4 linked regions of the Oreochromis niloticus genome follow. The protein of the gene in region 1 purifies or fractionates together with the protein of each later gene. This does not show direct contact. Links are inferred from orthologs where the notes say so. Each region holds a gene or a part of one and is shown in the gene's direction. Other genes may lie near its edges. The genes, in order: rc3h1b, cnot9, cnot7 and cnot11.

Region 1 (7,792 bases):
GCAGCAAAGGGGAATGTCATCCATCCATTTATCCATTCATCCATCCATCTTTATGCCCAGCAGCTAAGCCGCTCTGCATTGTGCTTCATCGTCTGTACTTCTCTTTATCCCCTGGCCCAGTGATAAAGATAGCATGATACACCAGCCACGTGGATTATCTTTGTAATGGACTAAGTGTGATTCATTCTCTCCTGTATGACAAGATGAGAACATATTGTCTTTCACTAGATTACAGTTTGTTGTGTCACCGCAGTATTCAAACACCAGAAAAAGGAAATCAACAAAGTTGAAGCCTGTCTTTAAATATCATATGCAGCTCTTTATTCTACAGTTTATAACCATGTTCAAAATAACAACCTTTATTAAAAGGATGGCTTTAAATAATAGTGCAACTGGTGAAAAAAGATAACAGTGTGTCAGGTCAACAAGTGACGAGCGAGTATCAGATATAACACATAATTGATACTCGCTCAGTATCCCCAGTGCACTGCTTTTGATAATACTCGACATCATCTCTTCCCTGTGATTAAACCCGATTATCAAAATGTTTGTTTGGATTGTGCACCAGGCATAGTTGCCTCATTGGGTAGATTTTCTCAAGTGCAGCTGTAAAAGTGAAATTTATGAGGAGAGGATATAAATAGTCCACAGAGATTATCTGTCACTATCCTTGCCAGGAACTGCATTGCTCACCTTAAATAGGGTTCAAGTTCCTGGGCCAGAATGGCTGAGTCTGAGGTGTCCAAAACAGGATGGGCACCTGCAACTGACATTAAAAAAGGAAAAAGATATGAGCATATATAAGAGCGCAGTCAAAATTTCTTCCAGATAAAAGGATTTCTTGTCTTTGTTTCTTCCTTCACCCAGACATAATGTGCTACAGCACATTAAATTATTGTTTAATGTTCCATTTTTTAGGACTTGCCTTGCGGCAAACACAACTGCAGAGAGAGCAGTCAGCCATGACGTGACCTACAAGGACATTTGGGTATCAAAGAAATTGGGACTTGCTATGATCAAAGGGATTTTCATAAACCTTATAACATTACGTTCAGATTAGACTCAGTGGCAGTCTCGGAGGTCATCCCTAACTCATCTTTAATCTCGGACAAAAAAAAAAACCCAAAACAAAACAAGACACACACACGCACACGCACACACACCCATACACAGATTATGTAACTGCTGAAGGATAAAAGCAGATTTCCCAGAGACAAGAGGGCAAAATCATCTCATCATCACGGACTTGCACCTGCATCTCTCGTACTGGGCATTGAAACTGAGATCTGTGCAATACTACATGATCATTGCATGGGAAAATATATCATCTGTCATCCTACACACATACAAAGACATCCATTAGCGCGCCGGCAGAGATAAAAAAGACAGGGACACTTCCCCCACTGCTCTATTAATAGTAACACCCGCATGCACATCTGCACATCTGACATCTGTTCAGCACTGGGAACCAGCCAGGTTACATTCTGCGTTTCAATACAACATTGTAGGTAGGCAGACTACGGCTGAATGGGGCACTTTAAATGGCTGCAACAGATGGAAATCATTCTAAGCAGACAATGTGCATAAATTATTGACAATTTTCCAGCTTTAGAAGGTTGTTAGGGAAAAAAAATCAAATGCAAAATTTTACATTTTCTGTCCTCATCCAAAATGCTAACACGCCACAGGAGCTGATCCAGCTCATAACATTCGACTACACTTCATGAGGAAGCTAAAGTAATACAGAAAAAAATTATGACTAAGTCACAACCTGTTATTGAAACTATATCAAGTATTGTTGTCATAAATATGGCAGCATGTGTTTTTTTTTCTTTTTTTAAATAAAGGCACGCTACTAAAAATGCTATTATTGTATAGCATAATAATACTGCAAAAGTAAAGTTATGTATTTCATGCCATGGCCAGGAGTTTCAAAACACTTTACAGCTTATTTATCAGTAAAGTATTACTAAAGCCCTTCTCAGATGGCTCCATGCATTACTTTTTAGCTTTCTCTATTATTTTCCTTAATAGACCTACCATTATAATCCACTCTGTACGTTGTTTCTTCATAATAGCCAGTGATTTCTCCTTCGTGCAGTTCTCTCACTTCCCTGTAGTGTTGTTGTCTTTCCCTTAACTTTGCATAGGCCCTCTCCTTCACCCTCAGTTTATCATCAGCGCAAAGGACTCCACTTTGTGAAGACATGCTCTCCGAGCTGTCTGAACTGCACAGTCCTTTATTGGGATCAGTCACATCTGTCTCCCTCTGCTCATACTTGTCCAGGTACCACTCCACACTATCAGACTTTTGGATTTCAGAAGACACATCATAGTCATTCGCCAGACCTCCCACATCATTCTTGTTGCCTGCTTCAGCCAGTTTAGGCTTCCTCTGAGGCTCTGCTAGTGCCTCTGTCCGAGTGTAGTCCTTTAGTGGTAATGTGGGGGGTGTATTGTGAGGGTCAACCCCATTGAGAAGCAACGTTTCTGGACGTGCTACTCTCCAGAAGCCCTTTGGAGGGGCCCAGTGTCTTGCTGAAGGAGAAGAAGTGGAGGAAGTAAAGGACGATGTTGTAGAAGCAGAGATGTTGGAGGAGAGCACAGGTGGTGGTGGAAGAGGAGGAGGGGAAGGGGATGGGCCATCCTTGCTAGTGCTTGAGTTGTCAGACAGAAGACTCTCCAGACTGGTGCCCTCTCCAAGCCCACAAGGCTGACCTGTTGGATGACTGACCTGTCCATCATTGTTTTCTGACTGCTCCTCTTCCACTTCCTCCCCCTGCTGTACAACTTGTGCTTCAGCGGGAGGACTGTGGATCTCCAGACTGACTTGTACCTCTACCTCCTCCTCTTCATCACTGCTGCTTAAGTCCTTTGCACCACCTGATCGCCAGGAGGGAGCAGGCAGAAACAGCTGGCCTTTCACTTTGGGTCTCTGTCTAAGGAGGACTTCAGATGAAATGTGCCCCGCTGGGTTGCTCACCAGCACCTCCGTGTCAAATCTTTCTCTGTCTTTCTCCCTGTCTCTTCCCCTTGTTCTTCTCTGCGTGATCGACTTCACCTTGGTCTGCAGGGCGTGCACAGCTGAACTTTGAGCAGGGGGAGGAAGAGAAGTATTCAAAGTAGTGGTGGGTGGGAAAACAGGCTCAGGAACAGGCCCAGTAATGAGTCCCCAGTTTATGGGAAGCCCGGTGGGCAAAGGGGAGCCGGATTTTGATTGGATATTATCAGCGGCTTTCTCTTCCTCCATTGGCTAGTCATGCACAAGAAAGTCCAAAGAGATTCTGAAAATAAAGAACAAGAAAGATAAAAACATTTCCTATTCAGTGTATTCTACATCTCTGTTACCAGATACTTTTTTCCTGTGTGCCGGGTAAGGAGATATGTAATGTGGACTCTGTCACGTTGCCTTATCCAGTGATTACTTTGCAGGGCACAGGATAATCCTTTGGAATCAGAATAAGCAACTGCTGCCTGCAACTGAGACCCTACAGGGAATAAGCAGTATTATATGTTTATGTTTGGTTGTATATATCAGAAATAATAAACCATTTTTTTTCCTGTTTGCCATTCATTTATAGAAAAACTGGGGGGGATCAGTTAAAGTATTTAAAATTCATTATTTACCCATAAGAAATACGCACAGTGGCAGTTTTGTACAGGCTACTGTTGGTAATTATGCAAACCGCCTCCATAAAACCAATTTTAACACATCATTATCATTAACAAAGTAGCTTCTCATCACATTAAGAGACAGGTTGGTTTCGCTATTAGAAGGCTAACAAACATTTTTTAATGTACCTGCACTTTTACTGAAGACGGCGTACTTTGACATGCAATCCCAGCGTCGATGGTCACGAGAAAGTTGCCATAAATTCTGGGGCAACCGCACAAATTAAAGTTGCCCTCCATAATAAAAAGCTGCGCCAAGCGTGCAGTTTTTGCAGCGCGCATCCTCGCGTCACCAACTGGCAAGACGAGCGACGTCCCCGTGGATGAAATAATAATGATAATAACAAGATTTCCAAATGTTTCTCCAGATTCTGAGGTTCTGTTTTCACTCTCCCTCTCTCTCTGTCGCTCTACGTAGCTCCGAGCGGTGTCAGGCGAGTCAGCGGTCTCTCAATCATGCCTGGTCTGATAATCCCCTCAGAAATCAGTGGGATTAAACAAAAATGGAATAAAAAAAATGCCTGCTTTAATTTCGCTCTTGCCTCACGAACCCGACGTCGAGTGGAGCTCTGTGTTGCGCAAGTGCACACACACCGATTCCCTCCCCGCTGTAAAAATAATAATAACCCAATGAAAAAGAGAAAACAATTCTAGTAAAATGGCTTGGGGACCTCTCGCCCAAATGAGATATCCCAGATACTTTTCAGTCTTTATTTCGGTGACTCTGATTGCAAGGAAGTGGGGTATGCTGCGTTTTAGGGAGCACGGGTCTAATTTTGTCTTGCAAAAACAAATGTCAGCTGATTCTTATTTGTCAATACAGCTCCCTCCCTCTGTTTTAATCTGTCTGAGCTCTCCTCTTCCCTTCTTTTGTCTATGTTTCGAAAACAGATACACAAACATATTTAATATATATGCACTCGTGCAAACTCAGCAGTTTAACTGTGAAAAATGTTCCCAGATGTGATCTTCTCAGCACCTGCCCAGTTTCGGTATTTTGTGTGTGCGGCTCAATATCAACAGAGGGCGCCATTTGCCCACAATCCAAACGCGCACACGCAAAAAAGAAAAAAAAACGCGCGTGCACGCACACATCTTTTCCAGCTAGCTGTAACCGGCTAGCGAGTCTGTCGTCGAGTTGACACCCTCTCCCAAACCTTGGCAGCAGCTAAGCTGCACAGTCGACATGGCAAGAAAATATCGCAGCAATTTCCTAAAAAAAAGATGAAAAACTTCCAAGTCTTTTGGAATAAGTGAGTAGCATCGACAATAACGATTTATCTGCTCGGTGAAAAAACCCAAAGTAGTAGTTGCATGTTTAGTTTTAGGCACATTAGTGACGCATAGAGATTGTTAGCGAGCTAGCTAAGAAGCTAAGCGCTAAGAGAGTGGAGAGAGTAACATTTGTTCATTAGCATGTTAGCCCTCTGTGCTCATTCCGACGACAAGAGCGGTTGAGTTATGTGCCCCTCAAAACAAGACTAAAGCACAAACCTGGTCAGTTCTTAAGAACTTTCTGGTATCGAGTTGTTGTCACTGTGTCTGGTGAATATAAAGACATTTTGGGACAGTTTCGTTGCTTTGAAGTTACGGGTGCTAGCGTTACATAATCTGACTTGTTGTGTCTCTTAGATCTCGTTTCCTTGAACAGCGCCTCCTCGAAGGATAATTAATATCATTAAAACTGTAACGTATGAGCAACTGTGACTATATTCAGAGCAATAACTGTGTGACAGTCGGTCAGCGAAAGGTTTCAGGTCGTTAAGCAACTGTTTGCTGATCAAACGACGTTTGCCCGTAGCTAAGCTAGGAAACTAGCCACCCATAGCTTCCGATGCTAAAAGTAAGCTAACGTTACCTAGAGTTAGCTAGCTATAAAAGCGTCTCGTATCACTCGTAAGATTAGTGGGTGCATAACGAAACACCGAGATGGTCACAGCAAGGATAAAAAATACTGGGCAACAGCGCATTGTTGGTACAATATTATCAAGCACTATCACCAGACGCTAGCTTTATATCAAGTTAGAGGGACTTGGTGGTTAGCCTATCCTATACCCTTTGTCCATAGTCATAGTGATAACCAGCTCTTTTTTTTTCTCTTTTTTTTTAACTAGGCCACGCCGCAGTTGTTTTGGTCCATCTCAACCATTTGTTTGATTCCGACTTTACAAATATGTGTTGTGTCGCGTCTGATTTGCCGTTACATTGTTTTGTTGGGCTTGAACAACGTAATTGACAGGAAGAGGCATATTTTCAGTGCGGTTAGTTGTTCCACGGGAAACCTGCTTTATAACCACACGGCATAGAATGCATTTCTCAGCTGCAAATGCACTCATGCACAGTGTAGCCATGTTTTATAGTGTACTTCTACAATGTTTTGATGTAAAACTAATAACAGTATGACACGTTTTATTAAAAAAAACGACAGTTTGTGAATGCGGCAACAACTATAATTCCGTTTCTCTTTCTGCTTTACAGTATTCATCACGAGATGTGATCCACAATCCACAATGTGTGAGGACATTTAAGAACGATTGAGTTCGGAAGAAAAAAAATTGATTCCAGTGGAATCTTTCATTATATATATAAAATTATTATATATTTTCCTCTGTGATTAAGCTCACATACATTTATACACACCCATCCCATCAACATATAACCATGCCAGTGCAAGCACCACAATGGACAGAGTTCCTGCTGTGCCCGATCTGCACACAGACATTTGAGGAAACTGTTCGCAGGCCCATCAGCTTAGGCTGTGGACATACAGTCTGCAAGATGTGCCTGAACAAGTTGCACCGAAAGGCCTGTCCCTTTGACCAGACAGCCATCAGCACAGACATCGAGCAGTTACCTGTCAACACGGCTCTGTTGCAGTTGGTGGGAGGCCAGGTAAGACCTTTGTTTGTGTGTGTTTGTCATAAATTGCTAAACAAATGTACAGAGATCTGACTTTATACCGCCTGTGCTGAGATTTTGTTGACGCTATCTTGTGGTTAAGAATACTAGCTCATGGGTGTGGTTTTTTTGTTTTTGTTTTTTTTTTATAGTAGTGAAACATTTTAAGACACCAATCCTGGTTTTAAAGGATGACGTTTTCTGTAATTACTATGGATTGTATTTGTGTCACACATGGGTTACTACATGGTGTACATACTTTTGGGATTTCTTTCTGAGTCACCCTGCAGTCATTGAGCAATGACTTGAATTATGCTGCTTTACTGAGTGCTAGCGCATTCACTAAAGCCGTATTTCTCAGAGGGAGTGTTATACCAACAGGGTGAGGCACAGCTAATGGTGTCTGGCTTTGTTGGCCAAGTTTCTAAGTTAAGACTGCAATAATGGATAACGTCACTGCATCACTTGTAATGCTGAAATGTGTCTTCTCTAGTCATCATGACTGGTATGGCTTGTCTCTTAAACAGATCTTAGTCTTATTGCACATTTATGCTAATATAGTTTAACTAGGTAGGACTTCCTTAAACATTCCCTGTTTGATGTTGAAGTCGGTTATTCATATATATATGTATATATATATATATATATATATATATATATATATATATATATATATATATATTAGTAATGTAAAATTTGCTTCTATGGTGGAAAAATATGACTATCCCTACCACACGCGGTGTGCCCCACACACATGTATTTGGACAGACTGAGTGATAATAATGGTGGCAAACATTATCAAGTAGCACTCAGCTTTGTTATGACCTTTCTCGGAATTGGCCTTAATGTGCTGACGTTAGCCTTTGTGAGCTTTGCTTGTGGAAGATTGCAGCAAGAGATTTTGCTAACATTAATGAGAGCATCTCAGCATATTAATATTTCAATACATGCTGTTAGAATATAGTTAAGTGAAACTCCTTGCACAAATGAAAATGCCTGGTTTTGAGGGTCTTTGACAATCTTCAGCTGATTACTTAAAAGACAATTGTGACTAAAATATAAAAAACATTCTAATACCAGCGATTAGTGAGAATCCACATAATTTGAAATTAAATGTAATATATTTTAAGTAGTGATTATTTTAATTGTTGTGCAAAATGAGTTGTAACGTGTTAAATTGGCCCTCAGTCCAAATTGTTTCTTACCGTAAGAATAACCATAC
Region 2 (7,853 bases), on another chromosome or scaffold:
TTAACGAGCACACTGAAGTTGGCACTTCCAAGGGATGATTTTAAAACTGCAGCATAAACAAAAAGTTCAGGGGGAAAAAAAGCATAAAAATGATTCCGTTACATTGTAGAGTCAGAATCGCTTCAAGTTAATCCATGTGCTTGAACTGAAAAGAAAAAAAAAGAAAAAGAAAAAAAATAACACTGCTGCATTGCCCTGATGTTAAGTTTGAAGCACATTAAGCCCTAAAGGCAAAATAAAGCATTCAGATCATAGATTTAAAAGCAGACTAACACACACCATACTTCACAACAACCTGTTGCATAAGTCTTCATGACAGCTACAGATGTTTTGTTTATTTAATAGGATAAAAATGAATCCTGTTCTTCAAGCAAACTGATGACATGCAGAGGTGCAAGGCAGCCCAGGTGGAGAAATTTTGTTTTTATACTTCGCAACTAATTTTATTTCTCTATCTGATAAGAAACCTATTCAATCAGATAGTTATTTGTGGTGAATGAAATACAATTACACTTTGAAGCACAACATCTGAAATTCAAGCACTTTTCAAACCTTGAAAAGACAAAATTCAAGCATTTGTAAGGATAAGGATTTCAAGCACCTGTACGAACCCTGTTACTGGCATTGGGTATCAATTAAATGTAAAACAAATAGATTAAATCACTAGTACGTCTGTTATCAACTAGTGACAATAGCAACAATTAGTCGACTGGTCAGCTAGACGCGCACATCACTACTTGAAACTCTGCATCAACTTGAGAAATATTAATATATTAACATGAAGATGCAGAGAAAAAGTGACCATTCTCTGCAGGAAGAGCATACAAGGATTAATTCCTAAAAAATTTAAAAAAATCTTTGCAATTTTTTTTGTTTGTTTTGTTTTTTTAATGTGCAGGGGTGTCATTACCTGGCTTTCCTTGCTTCAGCTTTTCAAGGTATTCTTTAGTCTTCTGAACCAAAGGTTGAGGCATCCTGTCCAGCGTAATGACACTGTTATCCTTCAGAGTCAGGACGATGCGGTTGACATTCTGGCTAATATTTTTCACGTTCTGGTTCAGCTGAGGGCAAAGAACAGCAAATACTCAGATTCATGATGATTACTATTACATACAATAGTAATTAATACATTATCATTATTATTATTATCATCATCATCATCATCGTCATCCTCCTCCTATCATACTTGTTGATAAAGTATACCTTTGAACAAACTGGCTCACAGTTCTATTAAAGTTCTATATGACAAACCTTACTCAATCAGCTATTACTTTCTTCGATAGGTCTTATATCAGGGGTCCCCAATCTCAGTCCACGAGGGCCGGTGTCCCTGCAGGTTTTAGATGTGTCCTTGATCCAACACAGCTGATTTAAATGGATAAATTACCTCCTCAACATGTCTTGAAGTTCTCCAGAGGCCTGGTAATGAACTAATCATGTGATTCAGGTGTGTTGACCCAGGGTGAGATCTAAAACCTGCAGGGACACCGGCCCTCGTGGACTGAGATTGGGGACCCCTGTCTTATATCATGCTATCTGAGGAGTGAGGTTCTTAGTGACTAGAGACTCAGAACACGTGAGTGTGATGACAAAGTTTGTTTTTGTTTACTTCTCTTGCTCCAGACTCTTATATGTCTGTGTGGAAATTATAACAGTCCTAAGGGTTAGATTTGTTGCCTTTCCTAGCAATGGAGCAAGACAGATTCATTACAATGTTAGAGCCTCCAAGTTTTCCAGACTTCCCTACAAACTTCAGTTATATTGTGTCGGTAGGAGGGGATCGAGAGAAGGCACACACACTTCCTTAAAGAAAGTAATAACAAACTTTGTGTGAATGGGTTAGTTTGAGTTTCTGATCTCTTAGACAAACTCCAGCCTCACTGTCTTAACTCTTTCCCCATCAAAACAACATTTGACAACCTCCCCTGCATCCATAAAGATGAGTTTTGACACCTTAGTATATGAATAAAGATGTGGTTTGCATAGGCAGAGACCACCCTCAATAACTTCCGATTTAAACCCAGGCATTTTGTTCCAAAGGCAGGCCTAAAATATAACAGAAATCGCTAATCTAATAAAAAGAGCATCAAAGGTTACTCCTAGTAGGGGGGAGTTAAACAGCAGCAGATGCTGTGGTCCTTGTCCTGCATGGCCTACTAGGCATGAACCAGTTTATCTCCTGATGCAGGTCTGGGTCAGAGTGACCCACCAGGTCACAGCAGATCAGCAGAGCAGAATAAGGACTAAGATAGGAGTAGTTAAGTTGAACTGCAAAAACAAGAAGTTCACCAGTAGGGAAAAAGAGGACAGGAAGCTAGCCGTTTTAGCCGTTTGAAACTGAACTTTCAAAATAAGAGGACGGGTAATATTGACTATTAAAGTTATCAAGCTGTTTTTTCTGACAGAGGAGAAACTTCAAAGAAAGCAGAAAATATATAGTTGTTACTGTACATCAGTATGAGTGGGGAAAACTGCATGTGAAGTACATTTAAGACTTTCTAAAACCTGAAAACACACATAATTGCAGCACAAACTAGAGTTAATTTTAACTTGTACAACTAATTCAAGATTGACTGGGTGTCTATTATATTCTATTCTATTTGACTGCCATTTACGAATTACGTGCTTAATTATTCTTTTCAGACCCAATCACATCAGTCAGTCTGAAATATTTTAGTTCTGGAATATGGGATCATATAAAAGAAGTACAGGCATGGATTAAAAACACTTGACCTGAGGGCTGAACAAACCCTGGCATGTGCCATGGGTGAGATTATGTTTCTAATCCGGTTCATTCATGGCTTCAGTGCAGAGCTACTGCTCATTCATTGCATAATGCCTCAAAGCCGACAGCTTAGATTCTTCTAGTACTGACATGAATCAGACATGTAAGACTGATTTATAGGGTGCCATTTAACAAGTTTGTTCCTGTAATGCTTTAACAAGAAATACCATATTTTATTTTCCTCATTTAGCCATCCATTAGTAGGAGTCTTTTCAACCAAGAAAGCAACTCAAATATGTGTGTGTGTGTGTGTGTGTGTGTGTGTGTGTGTGTGTGTGTGTGTGTGTGGAGTTTCTTGCAGGATTAAGAGGGTTCAGTGTCTTTTCCTCTGTTTTTAATCAGCTGTTTAATTTGCACGTCTGGTGCATTCTTACATTTTTTTATAACGTTCCTCTCGTCCAACACATTCACTCATACACACCAAAATAAGGCGGTGACATGACTCACCCCAAGGAATCTTATTTTGACATGTGAATTGACCCAACAATCCCAAGAAAAACAGGCAACCCACAGTACCTTCTGAGCCAGCTGACCCAGATAAAACAATACTCGATCTGGATGCAGTGGAAAAGATTGCTAGATTATAATAAAAAAAGACCATCAAAATCGAAATCAGTACCTCTTAGGACATTAACAAAAAAATAACAATAATAAAGACCAATGTGAAAGTAAGACATTATATTTGGGGTCTTCTAAACAAGCCATCAACTAGTGTTGATTTAATTAAGGCAGAAATAAATATGAGGGGAGAAAAGTAGCAGTAAAATACCTGGAAAGTTTTGGAAGCTCCTCCACAGTTGAATCTCAGGCAGAGGTTAACTTTATTGTCCTTTTCCAATATCTCAAACGTTCCTTCTTTCCACCTGGTGGTGCCCAGGTCCAGACTGGTGAAACGGATCTTCACAGCCCCACCGCTGGAGACTTTGGGCACTACAGTTGCCATGGCTTGCTATCCCGTTGGTGCACTTGGGAGACTGGGACTCAAACTAATCCTAAAAAAGACAAATTGGATCCGCTGTCACACAATCTGAGCACATTATATTTATAACAACTGAATGTGTCCAGCAGGAGCAGTTTAAACGAATGGTCAGGTATGAGTTCTGAAGTTGATTACTCTAGTTAAATACTGCAGGAAAGTAATGAGCTTAACGAACAGAAGCAGCCACTAAAATGAACATAGCACCTCTTCTTGTAATAACACTAACATCACCTGTAACCGTCTCGGTGAAAGCAACTTCAAAGTTTCCGATGCTAAGCTCAGATAACGAGAGCAGGCAACCCACGTTGTCAAAGTCACAAGAAAGTACAAACCATCCAAAAACAAGCTGACAGGAGTCAGCGCAGCATCTCGCAGCAGAAAAGCGGACAGCACGCTCGCCATGCATTTCTGACAAATAAAACAGCTTTTTTGGCTGCGTGTGGCAGCTCGCGCCTTGTGATTTTCTTTGCTAGCAGCTTCAATAAAAGCCCATGTTTGCATCTGCCATCAAACTAGCCAAACTAACGGCCACTCTGAGTCGCGGCACCCAACGATTGGTACGTGCACAACAACACGGGATGCTCCCTCTCAGCTCAAGGCATCGATGCTCCCACAGAATTACCTGTTCAAACCGGTAACGCCAAGAAAAGGTGATAGCCAAAAGTTAAAAAGCCCCTTTGGATGCGGATAATGTCGTATGCTCGTCCGCAGCCCCTGAATGGGATGGAGGAGGCCGACGTTAGCACCTCGGCTAAAAGGCTAACGGACGCTAGCTAACTGGCTAATTTGCTAGTCTGTAATTTGGTGATGAAAAGCGTATCGCGTTGCGATTACACCGAGCGGGTACTTACCTATCGATGACGAGAGCTTGTCTTCAAACTTCTAAAAATCCGGTGCCGCTTCTGTAGCTGCTGAGCAGGCAGAAAGTTTGTTTTGCCGGCATTCACCTGCTCTCCGGTGCTGTTGACAGCAGAGCAGCACACGACGCGTCGCTGAGCTGCGCGATGATGGCGGGAATGTGAAAATTTACAACGGAAGTAATGACCGAGGATCTTCATCTCGCGATATTTCACTTATTTGTATTAAGGCTGTCTACGGGTCTGCCAAGCTAAGCCTCGCTTTAGTTTTAGTGTGAATTACGTTTAGTTTTGAGCTAATTAGTGTGGTTTAAAGCGCACAAATTAGACTGATAGTATTCATTTTCCCTTTATTTCGGCAAATTTGAAGTTATGTTAATGTACACGGGTACTTGTCTTCATAGGCCAGGACATTTAGCAGTCAGCTCGGGCTAGCTTCGTGCTAGTTACGCCAACTTACTTGCATTGCAACCACGTTCACCACACTTAATCAAATTTAGTTGTTTATAACGACATAAAGACGCCACAGAGAGCCTCGGAGAATGCTTGCAACGGGAGCGGTGAGTGTAATTTCACCTTACTTTGCTTTGAAGTCTCGAACCGTCTTAACATGGAGCTTCCTCATCCTTTTGTTTGATTTACATAAAACATTGACCACCCATTCTCAAACACAGACCCAAGACGACATGCTTTTTAAACTCACTTTGCCTTTTACAGGCTGTATCTAATGTCACAGCCCTGGCTCAGGTAGACCGGGAAAAGATCTATCAGTGGATCAATGAGTTGTCCAGCCCAGAGACCAGAGAGAATGCCCTGCTGGAGCTCAGCAAGAAACGCGAATCTGTGCCAGACTTGGCACCGATGCTTTGGCATTCCTGTGGCACTATCGCTGCTCTCCTGCAGGTAAGATCTGTTGCCTCTCTCTACCTGTTGGAAATCAGGATCTCTCTTTTTTTCTTTTTTTTTGTTAGGGTGTTACTAGGAATTTATGCTTCAAATCAAACCTGAATCTTTAACCCTATGGCATAACTGGACATGCACCCTTCTAGAAATTTAACACACACAGCATCCACAGCACGTACTGTGATTGGCCTATCCAGTACTATAGATTCCCCCTGTTAATTTCACCTTAGTTTTTGAATTTCTCAGTGACAGAATAACGATCATCTCCTCAATATAAGGGATCTCCTCAATATAAGGATTCACAAATGTCAACAGATTACTGGAGAAAGATATATAGGTAATAAAGTACCAGCATTTTATTTGTTCCTGTCGGCTGGCTCCACATATAAAACACCAGAAGACACACTAATTAACACATAATGCACAAAAACATAAATGATGTTGACAACATGGCTACTTACATAAGCTACGCCATAGGCTTTACAAAGATTCAGCACAACCATTAGTGTCAGGGACTACAAGTCATGCCATGTTTGCACAGCAGCTAGGCCTTACAGACCACTCACATGAAGTGAGCTACTAAACCCTTCTTCATTACTCTGAATTATTTTGCTATATTTATTTTTATGTACATAATATGTTACATTGGTACTTGTTGCTTGTTGTTAAGAGCTCTTAGTATATTTTAAAACTTGACCTGAATTTATAAGACACTTCCAGGGCACTAGGTCTTGAAATGGTTGTAAGCGTTTTTTATCTCTACCTACCATTAGAGTTTATACCACTTGTTGAGTTCTGTTTGCCCAGTGTCGTTTGCTGTGCACCATTGATGCATTCCTTTCTCGTTGTAGGAAATAGTGAACATCTATCCATCCATTAACCCACCGACACTCACAGCACATCAGTCTAACCGAGTGTGCAATGCCTTGGCACTCCTGCAGTGTGTTGCCTCACACCCAGAGACACGGTAAGGGGACAATTAGAAGCTTTAATTGTGTCACACTAAAGAAAAACCTTTACTGCAGAGCAGAGTAATACTAAAGAAAGCCTTTAATACAGAGCAGTTTGAGTTTTATCCACTTTATTTACCTTCATTTGTTCTGTTTCAATCAGGAATTTCAGAAAACTAAACTCGAACCATGCTTCTTTTTTTATGTTTTACCTCACCTTTTCTTTTCACTGATACAAACAAGGCTTTTAAGCCTTAAATGAAAGTAGGGCTGCCACAAACGATTATTTTGATAGTCGACTAGTCACCGATTATTTTTGCGATTAGTCGACTAATCAGATCATGCATCGATTGGACGTAAAACTTACAGCTTGAAAATATGTTAAACGTTTATTTTGTGACCCAGAAAGAATAATAAGAGTAATATTAAAACTAACTAGCTGCCGCCATTGTTGACAACTGCGCTGGGCCGCACTATAAATTCTGGGACACAGCTTCTTCTTCTTCGGGGTTTAACGGCAGCTGGCATCCTTTACATGCACTGCTGCCATCTTCTGTTTCAGTCCGTTATTACACTTTTAAATCCTACTACTTATTCCTGCGTCTTTTGTGATCTTACAAAGCTTCAAACGACGCGTCGACTATTAAATCAGTCGTCGACGATTTTGATAGTCGACGTAATCGTGACTAGTCGACTAATCGTGGCAGCTCTAAATGAAAGTACCTAATTTTCCACACTATAAGGCACACTTAAAATCCTTTAATTTTCTCAAAAATCAACAGTGCACCTTATAATCCGGTGCACCTAATGTATGGATTCTGGTTGTGCTTACTGACCTCGGACCGATTTTATGTTGTACACGGTAGAGATGGCACGATACCACTTTTTTATGTCCGATACGATACCGATATCATAAATTTGGATATCTGCCGATACCGATATGAATCCGATATAGTGTGTTTTTTAATCAATAAAACTGTTTTTTAATATATTGCTGCATTTTGTATAAGTTCATACTCAAGTTTAAATAAACAACAACACTAAAGCTATTCTGTTATACCTGTATGTAAAAAAATACACTGCGCCCAAAATATTTCATAGTTCAGCAATACTGATCAATCTAATAAACTTAATCCTCCCTATTCTGGTATTTTAAAGAGTACTTAGCAGAAATATTAAGCAACCTAACTAATAGGGTTGCAAACTCCCAGGAAAAAAAAAAAAAGGGAACCACCCTCCACCTCATGATGCTTAATTGATGTAATCAACTTTAATTTGATGCAGGGTGAAAAAAATGCACAGAAATCAATTATTTTTCAAGAATAATTAAATAGATTCAACATCTTTCTTCAACAGAATTGCAGACTGCACAGATGGTA
Region 3 (8,013 bases), on another chromosome or scaffold:
CCCTGGTATATACACTGTAATCAGGAAGATAATCATTATGTGAAAGGTAAAGACATTCATTGAAATTTTATTCTGCTGATGCATTTCTCTTTCTTTGTGGAGATTTTGGAAAGGGCTGTACAACCGTTTTGACCATGGGATGCATCCACGGCAATCCGTAGAGGATTATCTACGGGCCATCCAGGAGGAGACACAGCAGCTGGAGGAGCAGCTCACTTCACACACACAGGTAGGACAGGGCTATGCTGATCAGCCACAAGCTTAAAACCATTTAAAAAAGGTCATAGGTGTAACAGAAATTGCTGAAAACCTGGTGGCTATAATAAAACAATGTTTTGGAGCTTGCTATGTAGCAGCAGAGTAGTCAGAATTCCCATGTTGATTCCTGTGGTCCTACAAACTGTGGTATGCATGTGCAAAGTAATGAAAGAAGGAGGACTTGTCTGATCACATTTTTTCTTTTACACTGACATATGTTGTGTTTACCTGAAGATACTGTCAGGGTGACCTGTGGGAGGAAGTCAAACTAGCTGAGGTGGTGTGATGCTCAAAGGTCACTGGTTACTTTGGCAACCAGTGACCTAAACTTTGCTGCAGGTCACATTCACCCCAACACGGCAGTTATATTCCCTCTTCCAGCAGGATAATGCAGCCCAGCAAATTCCCCAGACCTTCCCAAATTCTCCAGTATGTGCAGCATGCTGAAAAAAAACGTAACTCCTTGCGAGTAAATTTAACAACCTGCGCACAAAAAGGCCATCATGTGTGCAACAGTGTCTATTTTGCAAGCACTGCAGCAGATTTGCCACGAACCGACAACTGTGTTAAATTGAGTTACAGCAAAATTAGCGCTGTTTTAAAAGTTTTTTGTTTAAAATTTGGAAAATGAAGTTTGCCGAATTAACTATCAAAGGATATCATTTGCTGTGTGGCAGTGGATATACTAAAAACTGGCACTGGATTAGCTGAAGAAATCTTTCAAATCGGATATTCTAGGGCAAGTTTTGGAGCCTTTTGATAACTTCTGACATAAATATTATTCCATGCTAATGTGATGCCACAGGACACTTTTATTAAAGGGTTCTGGAGCCTATCTCTGGATGGGTCGCAGATGTTTTGACAGCTGCATTCATATTAGGGAGGTGAATTTAATATTATAGCTGATCACTGTGAATTCATACTACAAGTCAAAGGGGAAAAAAAAGAAAATTCCACTTGGATGTTTTTGTGATTATAGGAAATGACTGTTGTCTTCATTTCTTACACTATCAATAGAAGATTTCTCAGCTGGAGCAGGAGCAGGAGTGCAGTGATTCCTGCAAAGCAACCACCTTTGATAAGAGCCCCACGGTGTGGGCTCCTGGTAACAACCTCAGTCTAGCCAACACTCCTCAGGACTACACCGGCGGCTTCATCACCGGCAGCCCCTGCCAGCCTAAAGGACCAGACAGCATCCTCCTGCCAAAGAGCACAAACCAAATATCTGACGCCAGCTTCTCCAACGGCAGCGACCAGGAGTCTGGGATCGCGGACCTGAGCTGCCGTTCACCTCTCAGCGAGGACAGCACCAGGGATCCGGACTCCGATGAGGCAGCCTACTCGGCTGCCTGAGGATTGGGTGGGAGGCGCAACGCCGGCCAGACGTCACCTGAGCAACACTGAACAAACACTACCATTACGTTGATCGTGTGACCCGACTATTGGCCAATTTCAGTGCGGGTCTTATTTGGGTTGCACGGTTTGCTTGCACTTTTGTTTGCATGCATGGTGGACTTTCCATGTTCCTGCATTCCTTCGTGTTCATAGTTGTTTCCTGTAGCTGACTGTATTTAACCTTGTCTCAGTTAAAGAGTCCAAAGAAAGCTTACATTTTTGGACATTTTAATCCATATTCACCAGAAAATAGGAGCAAGACTGACTCTCTGCAGTTTACTGTAATTCTAATGATAAGCCATTTAAGTGCTTCTATTTGCTTTTGCTTCTGCTCTTCCGTGCGGGTATTCAGTAGATATTTTGCTTTACAATGTAAACACCTTAACAGTGTAAAATGACATGATGTGTGCTCTGAACAAAGGCCAGTAATACATGGTATTAGTTAACATTTAATGCTGAAAGAGTAGCAGTGATTCAGATATGCCCAAATGTAGCAGCACTTCAACCCCAAAGGACTATATTTATGACTGAAGTGAACTCACTCTGCAGCCCACAGTGACCTCAGCTGGGGCTGGGAGTCATTACACTGTAATAACCAGCGGTCAGTGGTTTGTTTTCAGCACCTTGTGGTCCACTCCTCCATGTTTCAGCATATTATAGGATTTCACGGGGTTTTACCGCCAAGGGATGTAAAAGGAAGCTTTTGAAAAGACAAAGTGATTTAATAAACGTCTGTGCAGCGTGTTTCGACATCAGTGCACGACTGAACTACCGGAGCAAGTGAACACACAAACAGGGTGCTGCTTAGGGCAGCAGATGACCAACAGAGACTCCTTGAGTGTTTGTGTTATCTCAGCTGTCCAACTGGCAGTAAAGCTGCTTGCTATAGTAGTGTAGTACCCATTATTGTTTTGGTGAACTCCTGCTAAAGAACAGTGCAAAGATTACCGAGCAAAGCATGTGAAAATATTTTTGTACTATAACCTATTTTTGTCTCCTCTGACCTCGCTTTAAATGCTTGTTTTGTTGTTGTTTTTTCAGTGTCTAAAATGTCTGAGTCATACCAAATTCTGTCCTTGTATTAAAAAAAAATACCAGAAAAAAGCCTCAAAGCTTTGTGACGCTGCCCTCATTTGTTCAGTTGGATCAAGATAGGTTTGCAAAAGTGCTCGAAAGGCAAACTTATGTAAATTTAAGTCAGTTTTCTGCCATATACTTACATTGTTCTTGTTTTATTTAAGTGGGAATAGAGTCAGATTACAGTATCTCATTCATGAATGGAGTACAGTATAAGTAAATACAGCCACTGCACAAAAAGAGAGCCTTTGTGTATTCAGGTCACCCGTTCTCCTGATCTAATTTTGCTTCTCTAGTCAGATACTCGAGCAGGCTGCCTCATAAATGCACAGTCTGACATTATTTACACAAAGCAGCAAGGCTCAAATCCTTAATCTGAAAACAACAATATATTTGATGTTTGGACTTAATCACCATAAAACAGATTTGCATTACATCATCAGTCAGGTTAAGTTAATGGCAGTAAAGACTGCCCCTCATTTTAGGGATGAATGATGAAGGCTTCAGTCTCCTTGTTGTTGCCGAACATCTGCACAGCTGTGCTGGTGGGGAGCCAGACCCTGAAGCGCTGCCACCGCCAGCAGTCCTGCTCCATGGCTCATTCAGCTGTTTTTATTTATTATGGGTGTGAGTTTTTGGTTTGTCACTGTAGTCTTTCCAAAATGTACAGATTAAACCAAACCTCTACTAAAAACTGAACAGACAGTTGGCTAAGTGCTGAAAACAGAAGGTAAAGACTGCGGTTGACTGTTGTTGAGAGGATCCTGCTGCTGCAAGAACTCAAACTACAAACTGAACAAGGACAAAAAGCACATTTTAAAAGACTGGGACAAATGGTTATCATATAAGGTGAAGGAAGGACATAAGTAACTTTAATTTCTAAAAGAGGCAGATTTGGTCCACACTGCAGGCTTGCGACTGTTCATGTGTTTATATATAACTATTTTTTAGCTTTTAGCTGGCTTCCAGTTTTGTTTTGGCGTTTTCCTAAGTATCATTTTTTAATCCTCTTTATGTTTAAACAAAGCAAAACAAAAGAAAGTTTTAAAAATTATAATAGGAATAGTAACGAATATGGAAAGGGAATAGTAGAGGTGGGCAGATCAATCCAAATATTGATAGCATCTATATCAGTGCTGGTGTTGGTATCAGATGATACTAGCATGATAGGATCGAGGCTTTGTTTCTATCCTCTAAGTTCAGTATGTAGCCCACTGAATTGCATATATATTGGTTTTTAAAATACATATATATATATATATATATATATATATATATATCAAACATGCACTATGAAAGATGTCTGAATGTTTTTGTGTTGACTGTCATGTCAGTTTTATTTATTGCCCATATCACATTTAAACAACAGAAGCTGACCTACAGTGCTTCAGAGACAGGCACATTTACCTTCCAGGTCTCCAATAAAACCCAGTTTCAAATACATGAAAAGCTCAATGATGTTTTTTTGTTTTGTAAACTAATTATTGTGACGACTTAGTGACCATTAAAATGTGTTCAAAATTTGCAAATTGATGCTAATCAATTTTATAAATCATGACACACTGCTCTATCGTCCATAAGCTGCTGGTATAAATTAAAATTATCGCTAATGGTATCAGTAATACAGAGACTGTTTGGGATCCATATCAAAACTTGGAGTATCTCACAAGACTAGAACTTAGTTGGTCACGTTTTTTTGTTTGTTTTTTTATTTTTAAATGCAAAAAGTTGAAAACATTCACAGCTCCCTCAACTGTGTGTGTATATATATATATATATAGAGAGAGAGAGAGAGAGATAATGAAGAAGACATCAGAATCCTACGTGTAGCACACAAGCACTACCGCACCCACAAACAAAACAATAAGTTAAGTTAACAGGAAGGTTAAAGTATTCTTAAATGTATGTGATTGGATCAGGAGAATAAAATGCTGCAATATATTTGTCACAATCATAACCAAATTAGTTTTGATCGTGATTCTTTAAGTTTCTGGGTTGGTCTTATTTTGTTGTTCATACTTTGCTGACAAATGTAAATAATAATAATAACAACAACATTATTATTATTGTTGTGGTTATAATTATCATTATTGTTGTCGTTGTTGTGTTTTTATTTACTGAAATGAATTTTATTCATGTATTTATTTTCATTATACTGGAGCACTAGTGCATATCTAATATAGTAAAAGAAATTTGAGTACAGTTTTCAAGGGCTCTGTGCTTAAGCTATACTTACACACGTATATACGCGTATGACGTTGCTGTGTTACGTGATGACGTCCAGTTGTAGGCTCAGCTATGATGGCAGCCGTAGGTTGACATCAATAGATACTGAATATAAAGTATTTAAAAGTTAGCGGAAACTCCCCCGACACAATAACGTGGAACAAACTAACAGTTTTCTGATAGTACACGCTTAAAACACACACCCGCCCGGTTTGGGGAACGGTAAGTTAACGAAGCTACGTTCACCTTTGCTGTATCAAAGTGGCGCCGAGTGTATGTGTGTGTGTGTGTGTGCGCGCTTGCACCAGTCTCTTTCATGTTCTGCACACAGTCTCAGTTATCTGTGAGCTAGCTGTCCACCTACAGGAGCTGCTTTGTCGCATTACAGAGCTCCTATTCCTCCTGCCCGTGTTAACTAATGCTAGCTCTGCAGCCTGCTAACTGTTGCAGGTAACCTAGCTAGCCGAAGTGCTGCCGAAAACCCGAGCTAATGCGAAGAGCAGTCGGCTAAGCTCGTCCTGCTCATCATGAGGAGATAGCTGCTCCTCCCACTGGTTCCCTTTATGTAACAACAGTTAGCATACATTATACTAGAATAGAAACACTACTTGCGAGTAAAGTTAGCTTACCTAGTGTACCACAAGCAGGCTAAAGTTATTTCCTGTGCCCAATATAGAAGCCTCATTTGTTTTCAGGCAAGTGCTGTGTCAGGAGTCCTTCTGTGCCTTTGGTTTAGGTGTTAAAGTGCACTTGTTCAGCCCCCTTTAATAAAATATGCTGACCTGTGACAGTACACTTATGCACCACGTTGCAGATGTTGTGTTTATATTCCAATACAATTCTTTGTCTCCTTGCATGGTGAAGTGGCACTATGCCCGCAGCTACTGTGGATCACAGCCAAAGAATATGTGAGGTTTGGGCCAACAACCTGGAGGAGGAGCTGAAGAGGATACGACATGTCATTCGAAAGTACAACTACATTGCTATGGTGAGTGGTGCTTGTAGAGCTGCAGTCGCCGAGCCTCCCATGCCCACATTCCCGTTGTTCATCGTGACTCGTCTGCTTGCAGGACACGGAGTTTCCAGGTGTTGTAGCCAGACCGATCGGAGAGTTCAGAAGCAACGCTGACTATCAGTACCAATTGCTGCGCTGCAACGTGGATTTGCTCAAGATAATACAGCTGGGCCTCACATTTATGAACGAGCAGGGGGACTACCCACCCGGGACGTCAACGTGGCAGTTCAATTTTAAGTTTAACCTCACGTAAGATTGCAATCCAGTCTGTCTGTCTGTTGTATTCCTGCTGGAGCCCCATAGATGGATTGATCAGCTGATAACAGACCATCAGTGCGTGCAAATAGTAAAACCTTTATTGCCTTTTTTTTTTTAAACTACATGTTATACATACAAAGGTGCTCCATTGTTTACAGTATTCCCAGCTCGTTCTTAAGCATATTAAAAAGACAGCGCTCACGGCTGCTGGAAAGATGGTGCAGAGATGCTGTCTTGCTTGTGAAATACTGTAACTGCGCACAGTACTGGGTTCTGACTCCCTAAAAACCAGCAATACAAAGCCCCCCAAAATCCTTCTAATAATCAGACTTTATTTTTCTCATTGAATTCAGATGCATCAAGATTTGCAGTTAACTCTGCAGTGTGGACATGCTGTCGCTGTCTGCCCCTTCTGGCAGTAAGCAAACCGTGCCATGCCCTTAGTTACTACTGTAGTGTGGCACTGTATCCTTCTGTCACTACAAAATGCTGAGAGATTTATCTGATGGGCTTGATCCGCTTTGTGTGAATGCATTTGACAAAGGGCTTGGATGTAAAATAAGTTTGTTTCTTTCTGTGTAAAAGTCTTCACTCCAGCTTCAACGGGACATGAATCCTTTCTACACGCAGGATGTAAATATTTGGACAGCTTTTGGTCTACGCACTGTTTCTTAATGCACACTGAGTTTGAAATAAAACAACTAATACTACACTACACTGCCAAGTCTCAGCTTTAATTTTGAGTATTGCATTAAAACTACAGAGAGAAGTGTGTGAGACAGGGACCCAGAGTTTTGGTGCTCAAAAGTTATTCAGGTACACACAAAATCATCATGTTTGCAGTTTTGTAAGCGGCTGCTTTAAGTTTTTGACTTAAAGACAGTGGCAGATGCTTTGTAACCTCCCTGCTGATGATCTCCCAGTCCTCAACTGCTCACACTTTCAGCTCTTTGCTGCTAGTGACAGCTACCGCCACCTTTTGGAGTGGTGCTCAATCAGAGGGCTGACTCGGCCAGTCGAGAATTTCCCATCTTTTCACTCTTGTCAGCTTTTTGGTTTTACATAGAGGATTGTTGTCCTGCTGAATAATGAAACGTCCAACAGGTTTTGATGCAATTGGCTGAATGTAAGCACAACTCTGCATTCAACTTACGGCTTCTGCCAGCAGTGAAATCATCAATAAACACCAGTGAGCCAGGGCGTTTGGCAGGGTTACGTGCACGAATCCTAACAGAAGCCCTTCGATGTTAGATGATGTGGTGTTTTATGTCACAAGCTTTTCCCTTCCTAGAGACGTTTAATCATTTTAATAGAGGTAAATTTTGGTTTGATCCAACAGAACGTGGTTCCAAAACACTACTTTATTTCTTTTTGTACATTTTTTGCAAACTGCAGCCTGTCGGTGGTGAGACCTCTGAAGTCATGGACAGGGAGTCGTTTCTTGAAGGAAAAACATCTACGCTGCATCCTGAAGTGCATTCATAGTTTGTTGCCACCATCTATATTTTTTTTCTGCGGATCCACAAAAGACCCAACCAGCTGATTTTGGAAATCAACTTTTTCTTTTTCTTTTAGTTTTTATTTGAATGGAAGATATTCTTCTAGTACATTTCTGTTTTGTTTTGTGGCTTTCTTTTACACAGGTACAGTGTGTTAAAGGGTTATAGCTCCCTTACATTTTTGTAATATTCATCTAAACCTACTCAAATGAATCCTGAGACTTGGCACTTTAATTTATTACACAATTTTTTTTTGTCCCCCAGAAAAAAGCTGTCCAAATTAAA
Region 4 (7,768 bases), on another chromosome or scaffold:
CCGAGCTCACCTTCTCAACATGCCAGCTCACCTTCCCAAGCAAACTCGCAAGCGAATGCGCCAAATGCCGGCACCTCCCCACCCTCTAACTCTTCCCCAAGCACATCCGAAGTCCAGTCGGAGCTGCTTCCCCCTGCCCCTCCACCTCCACTTTCCTCCTCCTCCTCTTCTTCATCACCTACTGAAGGTGAGTTTTCAGGGACACCTCTGCTCTCCAAACATCACCAAGTCTTCCTTTGTCTCTCTGTTTCTGTGGATTTTATCTCCACTCCAGGGAGCTAATCTTTACCTCTTTCCTTCATGTTTAACACACAGAAAATTAAAATTGAATTGAATCATGAGTCACTGATTGATTGATACGCACTGTATTAAGAAAATATGAGTTCATAACGTTGCCCCTCTCTGCTGGTCAGGCCCTATCGTCCCTCAGTTCTACAGTATGAACCGGCCTCAGCCTCGACAGCAAACCCCACAGGTGGGGGGGTCACTGCCTTACCGCCGCCCCCCATCGGTGACCGGTCAGCCAATTACAACCCAGAATCAGGTCAATGGCGGTCCCTACTACAACCAGAGCCCAGGTATGCAGTATAAAAGCAGCCACCAGTCACTCCACTCCCACATTGAGAAAGTTTGGTAAAAATTTGTCTTTTGTGTTTGCAGCCTCTCCCACGCCCCCCTCCCTGCTCCAGTTCACCCCTCAGCTTCCTCTGATGGGGTTTGTAGCTCGAGTTCAGGAGTCCAGTGAGTATTAATCTGGATTCTTTTTCAGTAATTTATCAGAGAAATGTTTCTGCACATCATTTTTCTCGTGAACATCTGTGTGTCAAAACGGATGACATCATCAGCTTTTAAGCCCAGATTCAGTTCTGGTTATGTAAAGTATCCCCCACCTCCAGTTTCAGACGCCCCCCCTCCCCCGCAGCCTGCCACTGAGAACCAAGTAGCGCACGAGGAGCCCCTGCCCACTCCTCAGCCAGCTGAGGATGGGCATGAAGAGGAGGACTCAGCAGTAGTGGAGTATAACGACCCGTATGCTGAAGAAGACCCACCGTGGGCCCCCAGGAACTACTTAGAGAAAGGTACGCCACAGAAATACACAGAGGCAACAAAATACTTACAGTTAGCATTGTTTATGAGGTTGTCTTAGATCACTCCACCAGTGTTCTTTGAATTAGCTGCTCATATATGTAGCCTCAAACTGCGTCTCCGGGTAGAATAACACAACTTGGATTTAAGGTAATACCTAAGTCAGGTATTAATGTCTTTTATACTCATTAATTGCTTTGGATATTAGTTGTTGCATTAGTCACAGGGGTGAGCAGCTAATTATTTTTTTTGTTTTTGTTTTCATTTGTGCATAAAAACTGAAATGCATGTAATTACATTTACTGCACCGCTTCGGGTGAAATGACTGAACCTTCTGTGATCATATTTCGGTGTGTTTGTCGCCCTCCAGTGGTGGCCATCTACGACTACACGGCCGACAAGGAGGACGAGCTGTCATTCCAAGAAGGAGCGATCATATACGTCATCAAGAAGAACGAGGACGGGTGGTTTGAAGGAGTGATGAACTCGACCACCGGTCTCTTCCCTGGAAACTACGTAGAGTCCATCATGCACTACGCTGACTGAGCCAAACGTGTCTGTAATCACAGCTGCAGTCAAGAACTAGAAGGGAAAATGTGACCCTGTTCCACGTTGCCATTTGTCTCCTTAAATTCACACTAATTGATCACAAGAAAGTCAGAGCTTGTGAAAACAAAACGACCACTTAATCAATAACAGGCTTTACCTGAGTGCTTTAGGACTAAGAGTTGTTTCAGGTGTGAGATATTCATTTAAAAACACCTGAGACCTTTCAACCTGCAAGTAAAATGTCAGTAAAGTTCTTTGGGTATCTTCTTGTCAACCCAGTGTAATTCAAAGAAATTATGAAATGCGGTGCTTTCCAGCCACACAACAGCTTTGTTTCTTTTAAGAACGACTACACACATTTTAGAAAAGAATGTTTAAGTGGGACTTGATGGTACAGGTGTTGCCATACATTCAGGGTATGACAACACTTTAGTTTTTTCGGGTCTCGGTCATACAAATGTGTGTATGCTGCAGAAGTGATAATTGTCCTAATAATCTAAGTCCTACTTATCAAAATAAATGACTGCACCCAGAAGATCAAGACATGAGTAGGACACATTTGATTTTATTTTTTTTAATCACAAGAAATTGATTTTAAGATGTTGACATAAGAAATTTGTTCTCTTGCAGCACATGTTGCATGCATCATACAGATGTGAAACCATTTAGTATGTAAGTGTGGTTAAATGTTCATAAATGTTTTTAGAAATCATAGACATGATCACAACAGAGTGATTATTATAATAAGTAACAGAAAATCTAGCTGAAATCTAGACATAAGCCAGTGATGTTGATTCAAATGGACACTGTAGTGTGGAACTGGTAAAAGCTAATCCTGCGTCACTTTTAATGGTGCCAATCTGCCAAAAAAAAAAAAAAAAAAAACAATCCTAAGAGCCTTATCTGCCAATGAGGTGAAAGAAGGTGTTCTCTGAGTGCGGAGTCTGGGAGATAAACTTGACATGAAGGAAACAATAAAAGAAAACACTACAAGTCAGAAAGGTTTTTATGTTAAACAAAGCGAACAGCACAAAGATCTTCAGTAACACTAAACTCAGTGAAGTTGTGTGAGTGACCTTTTTGCAAGTTGATTGGATGCCATCCTGCTCTCTTCATGGACAGTATTCAGTGAAAACTGAGCTTCTGTCCTCATAGAAAGTTCCTTTAACATCACACATCCTGCTGTGATGTGACGTCTAAGTGGAACTGTCTGTTTTCCAGTAGCTGAAGTTTTCTTGTTAGTTCTGTGTTGAATGACGCTGCAAAGGCAGAACCGGCTTTTCAGCTTCATAAATGTATGTGTGTAACTAAACTAACATTTTATCTAATCCACAAGAGATCTGATCAATCACCGAGGTCAGACCAGACAGCAGAACTAAGCTCTCCTGTGTCCGACCTCATCGTGGTTTTGTTGTCGTGTAGTAAAGTGGACCTGATCTAATCGCCAGGAGGAGATTCTGGAGCTGTTATCAGTTTTTGTTTTGTTTTTTTAAGTTTACAGTGTGTTTGACTGCATGCCTGATATATAACGGACATTTTTATTCTCCATATTCTGTTTTCTTTCTTTTCCTGTAGTTTCACCAGCTTGCTTTATGATGTCTGTTTGACCGGCTGGAGGTTGTGATGTTTCTGTGCAGTTTTTGCTTGTAATAGCCCTTTAACTGAAGTCCTGTGTGCTTGGACGTAAGACCGACTCTCAGAAAAAGGTGGATATTTTTGTGCCATATGTGTGTGTGAAGAGTTGTGTGCACGTGTGTGTGAGAACCAGTAAGAACCAAATGTTCCCTTGTTGACTGAAGTGACTTTGGACCTGAAAACAGTGTGTCCTTAATGTACAGTGTAACTTAAGAGGTGTTTTACCACAGAAACCAGAGTATGCCAAATTAAATAACAAATAAGATGAGAAACAGTTTTTCCCCTAATAGATGTTTGAGTTGAAGGAAGAAAACTTTTTTTCTTGATGCTCGTAAGGTAAAGATTCTCTCTTGTGTGGCTGCAAATAATTATTTTAATACCTACATACCAAGCTGACATTTTCAGATATTATTGTATTTATTTATATATCCATGTATTTTCAAGTTTAAGCACAAAGTGCTGTCCAGATTAAAATGGATACAACTCATCAGAAACTTGCACACTTCCCTGTAGGAGCACACAAAGAACAGAAGGTGTAGTGTGAAGCAGCACACAACCCTCTTTGAAAAGGTTAAAAAAAAAACAAAAAAACCTGGTGTAAGTTCATATGTGAACACAGCGATCACCAGCCTTCAGACAGAATGTCTTTAATGTAGACAGCAAATCGTTTGAGCTGCTCCAAACTTTGGCTCACTCTGGTTTTTGTTTAGCCTGCAATATCCCTTTAAAGTGTGGATTAAAAAATGAGATGAACTGTGAAATGTTATGGACAGCTTCTCCAAGGCCTTTAAAAAAAGAAAGAAAGAAAGAAAGAAAAGAAAATCAGGAATCTGTTTGATTGCCCTCAGTGCAGACATTAACCTCTAAACAGGACAATTCTGGGTTGAGATTCACAAAATATTTTAAGTTAAATCCCCCCCCCCCCTCCTATGTTAGTAATAATTTCATTAAACGTGACCACGAGAGAAAGTAAGACACCCTACAATCAGCTGGCAAAAAAAAAAGTCTGGACGCGCCCCTGCTGAATTGCACTCATCACGTTTGAGTTTCTTATAGGAGCTTTGGTTTCTCTTTAGATCATCGCTTTCATTTTATTTCTTCCATCTCATTCTTCAGGATCTACCTGAAAGAACAGGCCGCAGGAGAAGCTTTCTCCTTTCCAAAGTGAACATGACTGAAAGCACAATGTTCTTTAAGTGAAAATGCAAAATAAATGTCTTAACAATAAGCATGTGCTACTGCCGTGTATTTATCGGACTGGACGGTAGAAACTGCGTACAGAAGAGTTAAGAAATAATAATTAAATACGTATGGTCACAAGAACTGAGAATATTTTTTTAAAAAAAAATATTCACAAACCTGCTTAAAGGTTTTTAAAAAACTGAATGAAAGAACACTTTTAAGTGAGTGTATCGACAATGATCACTTTATTTCGACAGGACAACGCCGGAAATGATAACGTAACGCTAGGACTGATGGGTAAAGGAAGAAGCTCTTTAGTTAGTCAAACCACTATTTTATGATCAGCTGTAGCTTTAAAAGTGACTCTTATTGGATGACGCTTCACGCTTTTCGAGTCTAAAATTTCTGCTTTCCTATAGATGACTTAAATGATTATATAAAGTGTTTTAGCGAGTTTATTTTAAGGGGGAAGTGAAACGCCACTGTACGAAACTACATCACCCATGATGCAGCTCGGTATGACCGACGTACTGTCGTGAATTTAAACTGCTAATACATCGGTCACCGATTCTCAACAGTCGTGAAAACACCTGGACAAACTTGGATGTTTCTATCGGTTAATGTTTTGTTAGTTTTTGTAAGACTGTTATGCAGTTTCAGCACCGGGCAGAGTGGAGTTTGTGGGGCGGAATATTTGGTATGACTATGAAAATGCCGCTTTATGTCAGTTAGCGCCGCAATGCTAGTTAAGCTAACTTTTTGCTAACTCGTTTGATTATTTTCATTCTGTAGCTTTTCAGATTTCCTCTTCAAATATGAATTAAACACACCCGGTTCGTTGCGGAGATGCTGTATTTGCTATATTAGCTATTTAAAGAAAAACAATACAGTCTTATAACGGTTCCGCCCAAGCAGAAAAGATTCAGCTGAGGAAACCATGACACTCGCTCCGAAGGAACTGTCCAACCTGCTGAGCATCATCTCGGAAGAGGCTTGCACCAACTCCTTCGAAAGCCTCTCCACTCACTTTCATCATTACTTCGGGAAAGCGGAGCACTTCAGGGTGGGCTCGGTGTTGGTCATGCTTTTGCAGCAACCGGACCTACTGCCCAGTTCCCCGCAGCGGCTCATCGCCCTCTACCTGCTGTGGGAGATGTACCGCACCGAGCCACTGGCCGCTAACCCTTTCGCCGCTGTTTTCGCGCACCTGCTGAACCCCGCACCTGCCGGAGAGGAGCAGGAGAAGGTGCTGTCCGGTAGGTCTCCGTGTGAAAACGCTTTTTCCTGACTTTGGTTATGTCACCGAGAAAGAAATCAGCCAACTGTTTCTCATTTCACAAAAACTTGTTCAGTTCAATTAAACATTTGCGCTCAGTTCTTGTTGGAAAACACCCAGTAACACTGGCAGTCTTGGTGTGACTGTGTAACATGATGAATGAGGGCTATGAAGTCTCATCTGTTTGGTGTCCAGGCTTCCTGCCTCCCATTACCCAACCTGAGAAGTTCTTCCTGTCCCAACTGATGTTGGCACCTCCCAGGGATCTCTTCAAAAAGACACCCAGACAGGTGTCCTGCATGGATGTTGGCAACATGCCCCAGTCTGTAGACATCAGCGGGTTGCAGCTAGCGTTGGCAGGTCAGTACCCACTCACCCATAAATGATCTACTGATTGAAAGACTAGGTGTGACTGGTCAAAACTGTCACTTGTTTATACTGGTTTGTTTTAAAAGACAATTTTTTTTCTTCTTTAGTTTGCAGTGCACTTTGTTTCTCTTATGTTTTAATTCACTGTTTCTGTCTCTTTGTTGTTTAGAGCGTCAGTCAGAGTTGCCCACTCAGAGTAAGGCCAGTTTCCCAAGCATTCTCAACGATCCAGACCCAGACTCGTCCAACTCAGGATTCGACAGCTCTGTGGCCAACCAGATCATAGAGTCTCTGGTCACAGGCCCGCGCCCTCCCCTGGAAAGTAAGTGTTATTGGTGATTTGTTTGTTCGTTTTTCAAAAAAGGCTTTTGTTATGCAGAAAACAAAGAACGTTAAAAGGGATTTTAGGATTGACCACGGTTGTTGTTGGTGGAGGTGGAGGTGGGGGGAGGGGGGATCAATTTAGGAGGTCACCTCGGTAGGTCATCGTGTTCCATCTTTTTCAGAATGATTTGACATGACACAAAGACCCTGAGTCAGTGATTTCACTGTGTATGTGTGCGTGTGCGCAATTTGCAAAATGAAAAGAGTATGTCTTATCATCATGTTTCTCATCACTAAAAAAACGTTGGGCTGGTTATTCACTTCTAGCTTACAAGACAGGAGCTGTGTGAATAAGGAGATCACAGATGAAAAGCACGTAAACGTTTTGCTTTGCTGGCAGTTTTGTGGGTTTTCAGCTGTCAAGTGCACATCTGACTTATGTTCATCCATAAGTCAGATGAAGCAGCATGGTCACACAAGAACCTGAAAGTCTCACTAGTGTGTGCATCAGAGCTTCAGCTCTTTGTCGTGGTGTCCCAATATTACAATTCATCGCTCTCTGAACATGAGAACACCTTTTAAAGCTGGCACACATGTAGCCATGGTTACTAGAGTAGACCGCCACCCATGAATAAAGCTAAGTCTGAAACAGACCAGGATTATCACAAGTGTTTCAATATCGTTGTTTAATCCTCAGGTCACTTCCGCCCTGAGTTCATCCGGCCGCCGCCTCCTCTCCACGTGTGTGAGGACGAGCTGGCGTGGCTGAACCCTACCGAGCCAGATCACAGCATCCAGTGGGATCGCTCCATGTGTGTGAAGAACAGCACCGGCGTGGAGATCAAACGCATCATGTCCAAGGCCTTCAAGAGCCCGCTGTCTGCACAGCAGCAATCACAGGTGGGTCAGCCACAGAATGCTTCTCTTAAAGTCAGGCACTGAAATTCTATTTAAACTGAAACTATGGTGCTGCCACCAGCTGCCTTTGGAGTGCAACTAGATAAACCCAGAGAGGAATTTCAGGGTTAACGTTGCTACTTCACAAAAAGGAGAAAAGCACAAGACAAATATATTAAGACAAGACATTGAAAAATGGTTTGAAAAGAGTCAGAATGTGAAATCAACAGGAATAAAATGGAATGAGATGGATTAATCAGAGGATAAGCCTGATAGTTTACAGCTGATTGATAGTGGGAGTTTATTTCTGTTTCTCCAGACACTGGAGGACAGTATGCATCTTTATACAAGATGATAATTTTTTATATTTAGCCACATCAAAAATTGACATCTTTTGTCCGACCATCACTCCCAGACCCAGAGAGATTCATTATACAGTCTGTTGTTACT

The links.
Region 2: the proteins of rc3h1b (region 1) and cnot9 purify together in Homo sapiens (affinity purification with mass spectrometry, with the first as the bait; 4 studies listed by BioGRID). This does not show direct contact. The link is inferred for Oreochromis niloticus from reciprocal best matches to the Homo sapiens genes RC3H1 and CNOT9.
Region 3: the proteins of rc3h1b (region 1) and cnot7 purify together in Homo sapiens (affinity purification with mass spectrometry; 5 studies listed by BioGRID, with this or other methods). This does not show direct contact. The link is inferred for Oreochromis niloticus from reciprocal best matches to the Homo sapiens genes RC3H1 and CNOT7.
Region 4: the proteins of rc3h1b (region 1) and cnot11 purify together in Homo sapiens (affinity purification with mass spectrometry, with the first as the bait; 4 studies listed by BioGRID). This does not show direct contact. The link is inferred for Oreochromis niloticus from reciprocal best matches to the Homo sapiens genes RC3H1 and CNOT11.

The regions. Positions count from the first base shown.
Region 1 is NC_031982.2:15,300,158-15,307,949, reverse strand, and holds the start of rc3h1b (roquin-1), read left to right. Parts: upstream 1-4,778; 5' UTR 4,779-4,925; intron 4,926-5,166; exon of another isoform or gene 5,167-6,111; intron 6,112-6,150; 5' UTR 6,151-6,333; coding exon 6,334-6,564; intron 6,565-7,792. Other genes in the region: uncharacterized protein si:ch211-13f8.1, read right to left, coding at 694-766, 2,041-3,250. UniProt on the Homo sapiens protein: Post-transcriptional repressor of mRNAs containing a conserved stem loop motif, called constitutive decay element (CDE), which is often located in the 3'-UTR, as in HMGXB3, ICOS, IER3, NFKBID, NFKBIZ, PPP1R10, TNF, TNFRSF4 and in many more mRNAs.
Region 2 is NC_031987.2:6,945,565-6,953,417, forward strand, and holds the start of cnot9 (CCR4-NOT transcription complex subunit 9), read left to right. Parts: upstream 1-4,837; 5' UTR 4,838-5,163; coding exon 5,164-5,181; intron 5,182-5,338; coding exon 5,339-5,524; intron 5,525-6,375; coding exon 6,376-6,491; intron 6,492-7,853. Other genes in the region: usp37 (ubiquitin carboxyl-terminal hydrolase 37), read right to left, coding at 1-46, 911-1,061, 3,555-3,728. UniProt on the Homo sapiens protein: Component of the CCR4-NOT complex which is one of the major cellular mRNA deadenylases and is linked to various cellular processes including bulk mRNA degradation, miRNA-mediated repression, translational repression during translational initiation and general transcription regulation.
Region 3 is NC_031966.2:31,931,437-31,939,449, forward strand, and holds the start of cnot7 (CCR4-NOT transcription complex subunit 7), read left to right. Parts: upstream 1-5,009; 5' UTR 5,010-5,178; intron 5,179-5,820; 5' UTR 5,821-5,827; coding exon 5,828-5,944; intron 5,945-6,026; coding exon 6,027-6,220; intron 6,221-8,013. Other genes in the region: mtmr7a (myotubularin-related protein 7a), read left to right, coding at 103-229, 1,276-1,611. UniProt on the Homo sapiens protein: Has 3'-5' poly(A) exoribonuclease activity for synthetic poly(A) RNA substrate. Its function seems to be partially redundant with that of CNOT8.
Region 4 is NC_031987.2:29,387,724-29,395,491, forward strand, and holds the start of cnot11 (CCR4-NOT transcription complex subunit 11), read left to right. Parts: upstream 1-4,761; 5' UTR 4,762-4,968; intron 4,969-4,974; exon of another isoform or gene 4,975-5,149; intron 5,150-5,244; exon of another isoform or gene 5,245-5,367; 5' UTR 5,368-5,389; coding exon 5,390-5,708; intron 5,709-5,923; coding exon 5,924-6,088; intron 6,089-6,266; coding exon 6,267-6,419; intron 6,420-7,118; coding exon 7,119-7,321; intron 7,322-7,768. Other genes in the region: abl interactor 2, read left to right, coding at 1-187, 414-578, 661-741, 897-1,079, 1,457-1,632. UniProt on the Homo sapiens protein: Component of the CCR4-NOT complex which is one of the major cellular mRNA deadenylases and is linked to various cellular processes including bulk mRNA degradation, miRNA-mediated repression, translational repression during translational initiation and general transcription regulation.